Xenopus tropicalis: one gene and its partner. The protein of the gene in region 2 purifies or fractionates together with the protein of the main gene of each other region. This does not show direct contact. Links are inferred from orthologs where the notes say so. Each region holds a gene or a part of one and is shown on either strand. Other genes may lie near its edges.

Region 1 (3,627 bases), on a different chromosome or scaffold from region 2:
GCAAAGGTTTGTAACATTTACATGTTTTCTTGTCTCCTGACAAGTATCAGTTACCTTCTGGTCACACAACCCAGTTCAACAACTAGCAGGGAGTCTGGTAAGACCCTGTAAGAGACCATATCCCATTTCTGCCCCACCATGAGCCCTAACCAAGCCCCCACTGCTGCCTAAAATGCCTGTCCCACAGGATAGCAGTTTCAAAGTTATGCCACTGTGTGCTTCATGCCATAAACTTCTCTGGTTGTTCCTACCCCTGCAATTTCATCCCTGAATTCCTCCCTAGAGAATCTTCATTACATCTCAACTCCCTCTTGGAGCACTGGCATAACCGATAGTCTTGGCAATGTCAAATAGAGCACTACTCCCCTCCTGTGTGAACTTCCTACCCACTTACTGTAAGCTTTAAAGCACTAGAACCTCCTACGTGTCTCACTCAGCGCTAAATGTTGAAATAGATATATAGATATATATATATCTATATATCTATCTATCTGTGTGTGTGTTTTATTATACTCAAAGTGCCACACATAAGAGTGAACATGAACATACAAAATGATTCAAACTATCCCCCCGCCCCCCAAAAAAATGAGGCTGTATTTTATTTGAATTGGTCCTGGCCCCCCACAAATAAAAAACAACAAGATTTAATGTTTTAAACGTTTATTAAAATAGGAGTCTTGATTAAAACGCAAGTATAATCCAGGTCATAAAGACACCATGTCCACGAGAGACCACCACAAACAGGACCGTACCTTACAGATACTTAAACATTAACATTGCTGTCTATGACAGCAAATTATAAACAGCGCCCTCAGCGCCAACTATTTACAACAGACACTAGAGTTTATTTCATGTGTAGACACTTAAAGCCTCCATACTTATGACTGTGCTGAAAAATGGAAGACAACCAGGCATAGGATAAAACCAAGTGCCTGTTCTTTAAAAAGGGGCCTGCAATTTTTTTCACTTTATAAATAAAAAAAGTACCCACACAAGTGTAAACAGTCACGTGTCCAAAAAATAAAACTGATAAAATTCTAAAGATACATTAGCTAAAATTGTACATAAATTTACAGAAGTTACATCAGAGATACACGCAGAACAAAACATTATATCCCCGAATTCAGAACATTTCCAATCAGAACTTTATCTTTGAATGCATGTTCAATATCCCGCTCCTCTATCTTGAGGGATACCTACAAGGAAGAACAATAAATTTATTAGCATTGCTGTTGCCATTAACTGCTTAAGTCGTTTATAGCAGATTTATAAACTGGGGATACAGAGTTTTTTGATCAGTAACAAAAATTAAATAAGGCATTTTAACTCCACAACTAAGGATGCACCAAATCTGGGATTCAGCCAAACCAAAACCTTAAGTCTGTTTTTTTAAAGAGGGGGCATGGTTCTCCAACGCTTCTCTAGCCTAATTTGTGTTAGGATATGAAGGATTCAGGGTTCGGCCGAATCCCAAAATAGCGGGTTCCGTTTGTCCCTATCCACAACCCCCTCTTTTTGATAATAAAACAATACAACTAATTAAAACAAATGGTATTTTGCGGCATGTAGTTTGTATGAAAGTAGCCTAAAGTAAAATAACTAATGGAATTACCTTTGTAAGCCGGGCCTCCTTGGCTTTCTTTAGCCCCAGAATGCCCCTTGTCTCCAGGAGCTGACAAAGTGACAGGCACTCCGATTGCCCAACGCCGGGAACCTGCTGCTTTCGGCAGACTTTACTGTATGCCTCGTGCAACTATGAAGAAGACAAAAATATATATGAGGAAAGAACAAAAGTTTGATATTTTAAATATTTAAAAGTTGATATAACAACCTATATCTGCACCATGAAACAGACATACCTTGCCAAGTGTGACTTCCTTGATCTTGCTCTGTCGAGTTAGCAGCAGCAGGGCACAGACCAGCAGTTTCTGTTGTAAGGGAAAGCTCTCGCTTGACCCCCCACTGCTTGCCATCTTGTCCCCATATACATCTGACAGGACACGGGAGATGTGTGGAAGGCTGACTTTTTTTGGAACAGGGTTTGATGGAACTTCCTTACTAGGAGAGAGACCTAGATGACAAAAAGAAAGCACAATTAGTTTAGTTAAAAAAAAAAAAAAAAAAACACGAAGACCATTAATAAAAAGTTATGTCCACTACATTTTATTGCATTAAGAAACGGTGTCTAAGCAAGGCATATATTGTATGCATAACATATAGCGCTACAAGGATACACCGCTCTGTACAATTTAACCTAGAAAACTACATAGAGGGACAACAAGCATAATAAGAACAAATACACAATTAAGGGTGACATGGTAAGACACAGAAGTTCTCTGCAGAGCTTACAGTCCTCTGAAAGCACAGTAATTAGGCCAATTAGGGACATTTATATATAAAAAGGAGATAACCCTGGAAGCCCACTTTAAAGGTGTATTATAACATCAAGATGCCCTGAGCGTGACCGTATTGTATCTATGGCAGTGGTCCCCAACCATTGGCTCATGAGCAACATGTTGCTCCCAAACACCTTGGGTGTTGGTCCCAGTGGCCTCAAAGCAGGTGCTTATTTTTGAATTCCTTGCTCGGAGGCAAGTTTTGGTTGCATAAAACCCAGATGTACTGCCAAACAGAACCTTATGTAGGCTTCCAGTCCATATAGGGGCTATCAAATAGCCAATAACAGCCCTGATTTGGCACCCACAGGAACATGTTTTATGCTTGTGTTGCTCCAAGACTTTTTACATTTGGATGTGGCTCACAAGTAAAAAAGGTTGGGGATCCCTGATCTATGGAATCTAGGTTTAATACTAATTTACGACATTGAACTACAGCTCTTATAATTAGGTCTTCTACAACTTCCTACCACTTTTCAGATCTACATATATTAACCTGTTCCAAGGATTCTTATCAAGTTGATGCAACAAATAGCATTACAGCACTTCCATAGCAGCAAAGATAATGCAAATCTAACAGGAAGCTCTGAGTGAAGACACACAGAGCTACTTAGTAGCAGATACTCAATATGGCTACTAAATGCCAGAAAATACCCTGCCATATACAATACTGAGCATTGCCTCTGCTAAAACACACAATTATCAGTAAAATAGTCTATTTTTTTTTAGCTGTGACAGGTAGGGGCAACCTAAAACATCCTCCCAGTATGTGAATGAGCTCCTTTATGGGGTATGGAGGAAACAAGAAGCACAAAGGGAAACAAAGTGGAGACAAGCATTCACTTACTTTCAGTTAGCGGCTTGAGGACAGTCTGGCCCCTTACATCCGCTTCAACAATTTCAACAGCTCTCCTACAAGCAAAAAAATTTAAGGATTATGGCCTGGAAAGACATGCATAAACAGCAAAACAGAGCAGCTTTCCAACAGCATTTCCCCAGAGCATGCTAGGAACTGATTATACAAGCGATGCACCACCCACTGCATGCAGCTTCCAGCAGACCTAAGTCTGAAGATGCAGCCACTACTGTGTATTCCTTAATATATGGTACTGCAAAGTATAGTGTTTTGGCATAAACAAACCCACACAGGTTTACTGTAGCTGCTAACCTATCTAGTTATTATATAAAAGAAAATATCAAGTAAATGAATTTTTCCCAGCTGCTGCAATTC
Region 2 (4,428 bases):
CGGGGTATTTATATAAACTATAGTAGGGTTTCTGTAGCAAACACCCCAGCTGTACCAGTGCAGGAATGGCTGCCCCCGGGGCTACACAGCGGGGTATTTATATAAACTATAGTAGGGTTTCTGTAGCAAACACCCCAGCTGTACCAGTGCAGGAATGGCTGCCCCCGGGGCTACACAGCGGGGTATTTATATAAACTATAGTAGGGTTTCTGTAGCAAACACCCCAGCTGTACCGGTGCAGGAATGGCTGCCCCCGGGGCTACACAGCGGGGTATTTATATAAACTATAGTAGGGTTTCTGTAGCAAACACCCCAGCTGTACCAGTGCAGGGCGACAGTACATTATTTTGTATTTTTGGTGTTACCGTTTCTTTAATAAGCTATACTATGACCCATGGTACAGGCACGAGGACACTAAAACCTGCAGTATTGGAACTCTTGACCTTTCTGCGCTACATTTCGCCACCCAATGTGCAGCATATATCAAAAAACACTATGAAAAGCCTACTATATTGGGGCTTTAGAATACTCCATACCCCTCAGTAGCCACTCACCAGCTGGACTCCATACTTGAAGTTCTTCTTTCCAAGCTCGTCATCTTTGTAAAACTCCTGCAGAAAGGTCTTGCACTTCTCTATAGGGAAAAGCCAACAGGAGCCATCAGTAAGTCATCTGAACCCTCAGAAGCACATGTAACATACAAGAACTTGTAGATTGTAAGCTCTTTTGGGCAGGGCTCCCTTCCCCTAAGCTCTCTTGTAGATTGTAAGCTCTTTTGGGCAGGGCTCCCTTCCCTTAAGCTCTCTTGTAGATTGTAAGCTCTTTTGGGCAGGGCTCCCTTCCCCTAAGCTCTCTTGTAGATTGTAAGCTCTTTTGGGCAGGGCTCCCTTCCCCTAAGCTCTCTTGTAGATTGTAAGCTCTTTTGGGCAGGGCTCCCTTCCCCTAAGCTCTCTTGTAGAGTGTAAGCTCTTTTGGGCAGGGCTCCCTTCCCTTAAGCTCTCTTGTAGATTGTAAGCTCTTTTGGGCAGGGCTCCCTTCCCTTAAGCTCTCTTGTAGATTGTAAGCTCTTTTGGGCAGGGCTCCCTTCCCCTAAGCTCTCTTGTAGATTGTAAGCTCTTTTGGGCAGGGCTCCCTTCCCCTAAGCTCTCTTGTAGATTGTAAGCTCTTTTGGGCAGGGCTCCCTTCCCTTAAGCTCTCTTGTAGATTGTAAGCTCTTTTGGGCAGGGCTCCCTTCCCTTAAGCTCTCTTGTAGATTGTAAGCTCTTTTGGGCAGGGCTCCCTTCCCTTAAGCTCTCTTGTAGATTGTAAGCTCTTTTGGGCAGGGCTCCCTTCCCCTAAGCTCTCTTGTAGATTGTAAGCTCTTTTGGGCAGGGCTCCCTTCCCCTAAGCTCTCTTGTAGATTGTAAGCTCTTTTGGGCAGGGTTCCCTTCCCCTAAGCTCTCTTGTAGAGTGTAAGCTCTTTTGGGCAGGGTTCCCTTCCCCTAAGCTCTCTAGTAGATTGTAAGCTCTTTTGGGCAGGGCTCCCTTCCCCTAAGCTCTCTTGTACAGTGTAAGCTCTTTTGGGCAGGGTTCCCTTCCCCTAAGCTCTCTTGTAGAGTGTAAGCTCTTTTGGGCAGGGTTCCCTTCCCCTAAGCTCTCTTGTAGAGTGTAAGCTCTTTTGGGCAGGGCTCCCTTCCCCTAAGCTCTCTTGTAGAGTGTAAGCTCTTTTGGGCAGGGCTCCCTTCCCCTAAGTTCTCTTGTAGAGTGTAAGCTCTTTTGGGCAGGGTTCCCTTCCCCTAAGCTCTCTTGTAGAGTGTAAGCTCTTTTGGGCAGGGTTCCCTTCCCCTAAGCTCTCTTGTAGAGTGTAAGCTCTTTTGGGCAGGGTTCCCTTCCCCTAAGCTCTCTTGTAGAGTGTAAGCTCTTTTGGGCAGGGCTCCCTTCCCCTCCTGTATCGGTTATTCATTGCTTTATATGTTACTCTGTATGTCCAATGTATGGAACCGATACAGGAGGGGAAGGGAGCCCTGCCCAGAAGAGCTTACACTCTACACTTACTATACAGCGCTGCAGAATATGTTGGTGCTATAAGAACACATGATAATAATAAAGAAATGACCCAATCAGCGGTATGGGACAGGGCCATTAGTGAGTGTAGTTATGTTTGTGTCAGTGTAGGAAGGTACAGCGCAGGGCCCGCTGCCCATATGGAACCGTTATCCAATAAACGTCCGCTTTTCCCTACAGCCCCGCCCCCAACGGCCGGCCCCGGGCGATACCATTCCTGTTCCGGGGGTTCCCGGCTCCCCGCCAGTTGCATGGAGCTGCCCCGGGACACAAAGGGACTCCCTGTATCACGTGACAGCCTGGGCTGGAAGTGACGTCAGAACCGGAAGCGCTCCCTACTCCGCGCCGGTAAAGCGGGCCCTCCCTGGCCCTAATGGTACATCCCGGGCCCTCACATTACAGGTAACCCAGCGCCCCCCCCCCCTCGCCTCACAGTCAGCCAGTCCGGAACCTGCGCCCAATAGGCTTGTAGCTGCCGCCTATACACCCCGCAGCACATTCTGCCGCCACAGAGGGGCCCCGGGAGATACAGGCAAACCTGCCCCATAAAGCAGCTTCATTATAGGCCTCTCCTTCCGCAGAGTGTCGTAAAGTCATTGTGCTGTACGGCACACTATCGAGGTGTAACTACAACTCCCCATAAACTCTGAGCTGTGGAAACGAACTGGCTGTGAGGAGAAACAAGCCAGGAATATAAAGGGAGCCCCAAGCTTCCGCTCCCTCCCTCTAACCAGCCCCCCTCACTGATACTGCGGCTTCCCCTCCTCACCTTTCTCGGCTTGGTAATCCCTGGGCATGATGGTAACTCGCTGCGCTGCTACTGCCTCACTCTCCGGATCGCCTGTGCCTCTTCTTTTCGCGGGCTTTTACTTTCCCTGCGCTCTAATTGGCCGCCGGTTGCTCGCTTGCTTTGTACCTCCCCTAACAACTGAAGCGGAGCGGTGAAGCGACGGCGCTTGTAGCCAATGGGATGCGTAGCGGGATAAAGCAGTTACTCGATTGGCCGTAACTTAGCGCTACCGCAACCAATTGAACGCGACTTTGCGGTCACATAGATCCGCCCCCTAGAGTAAGTGAACCAATAAGAGTAGGTAATGGATGCGTTGCAACCTTATGCTTTGGCGCGCTTTTAGAGGTGGCGCTTGTGTGTGGGGTTTTGTTATTGCGCTTGTCGGTGAATGTTGTGCTTTCTTATCTCTGAGGCAAATTAAACTGTAACAGGTGGCCTGCTGTGATATGAGGCGTTATATGGCTAAAGCTAATCACAGAGAAAATATTTTGTGTGGTAAAATGCCACCATTTATGGAATTGACTAAAATATTAAACCTGCTCAGCAACTCTCAGTATTTCTGTAAAATATGACAGGGCCCCCAAATCACTTACCTGGGGGCCACATTTATTGGAATCCAGCTGTCATTAGGAACAACTTTGGTTAAAATCAGTTGCAATCATGTGACAATGCCAAAGAAAAATCACTTTTTTTCCCTGTGGTGATACAAAGGGCAGAAATATAACATACTATAGGAGGGGTGAGGGGCAATATTTGGCAAAAATTGCACTTTCTGAGACATTTTCAGCCCACTTACTGGGCATGTTGTAAAAAACAATGTCTCCTATATTTTGTATAGAACACAGCGCTGCGTAGGAATGAAGACAGACTGAATAGATTGAACACTGTAAGGGGGTCGTCGTCTTAATTCAAATCTATAAGGGTGAAGACACACGGAGCTACTAGTAGCAGCTAGTAGCTAGTGGCTACTAAAACAGACAATGCTGATCATTTACTGATAATTGTCTCTGTGTGTGTTTAGCAGAGGCAATTCTCAGTATTGTCTATGGCAGGGGATTTTCTGGAGTTTAGTAGCCGTGACAAGTAGCTGCTACTAGTAGCTCCGTGTGTCTTCACCCTTAGGAAGAAGACACACGGAGCTACTTAGTAGCAGCTACTAAAACAGACAGTGCTGATCATTTACTGATAATTGTCTCTACGTGTGTTTTAGCAGAGGCAATTCTCAGTATTGTCTATGGCAGGGGATTTTCTGGAGTTTAGTAGCTGTGACAAGTAGCTGCTACTAGTAGCTCCGTGTGTCTTCACCCTTAGGAAGAAGACACACGGAGCTACTTAGTAGCAGCTACTAAAACAGACAGTGCTGATCATTTACTGATAATTGTCTCTACGTGTGTTTTAGCAGAGGCAATTCTCAGTATTGTCTATGGCAGGGGATTTTCTGGAGTTTAGTAGCTGCTACTAGTAGCTCCGTGTGTCTTCAGCCTAAGAAGTGTAATTTCTATAATCTCTATGTAAAGTGACCTACTGGGAGTAGTAACTAGGAGTTACCGGATTACCAATTCCTGCTGTAGACTGAGCATCTTGTATTTGATCTG

The links. The genes of interacting proteins can lie anywhere in the genome.
Region 1: the proteins of mcm7 (region 2) and cdc6 purify together in Homo sapiens (affinity purification with western blotting; 3 studies listed by BioGRID). This does not show direct contact. The link is inferred for Xenopus tropicalis from reciprocal best matches to the Homo sapiens genes MCM7 and CDC6.

The regions. Positions count from the first base shown.
Region 1 is NC_030686.2:8,861,617-8,865,243, forward strand, and holds the end of cdc6 (cell division control protein 6 homolog), read right to left. Parts: intron 3,309-3,627; coding exon 3,244-3,308; intron 2,072-3,243; coding exon 1,860-2,071; intron 1,754-1,859; coding exon 1,613-1,753; intron 1,197-1,612; coding exon 1,110-1,196; 3' UTR 644-1,109; downstream 1-643. UniProt on the Homo sapiens protein: Involved in the initiation of DNA replication. Also participates in checkpoint controls that ensure DNA replication is completed before mitosis is initiated.
Region 2 is NC_030679.2:144,209,806-144,214,233, reverse strand, and holds the start of mcm7 (DNA replication licensing factor mcm7), read right to left. Parts: upstream 2,879-4,428; 5' UTR 2,841-2,878; coding exon 2,813-2,840; intron 2,446-2,812; exon of another isoform or gene 2,404-2,445; intron 635-2,403; coding exon 555-634; intron 1-554. UniProt on the Homo sapiens protein: Acts as a component of the MCM2-7 complex (MCM complex) which is the replicative helicase essential for 'once per cell cycle' DNA replication initiation and elongation in eukaryotic cells.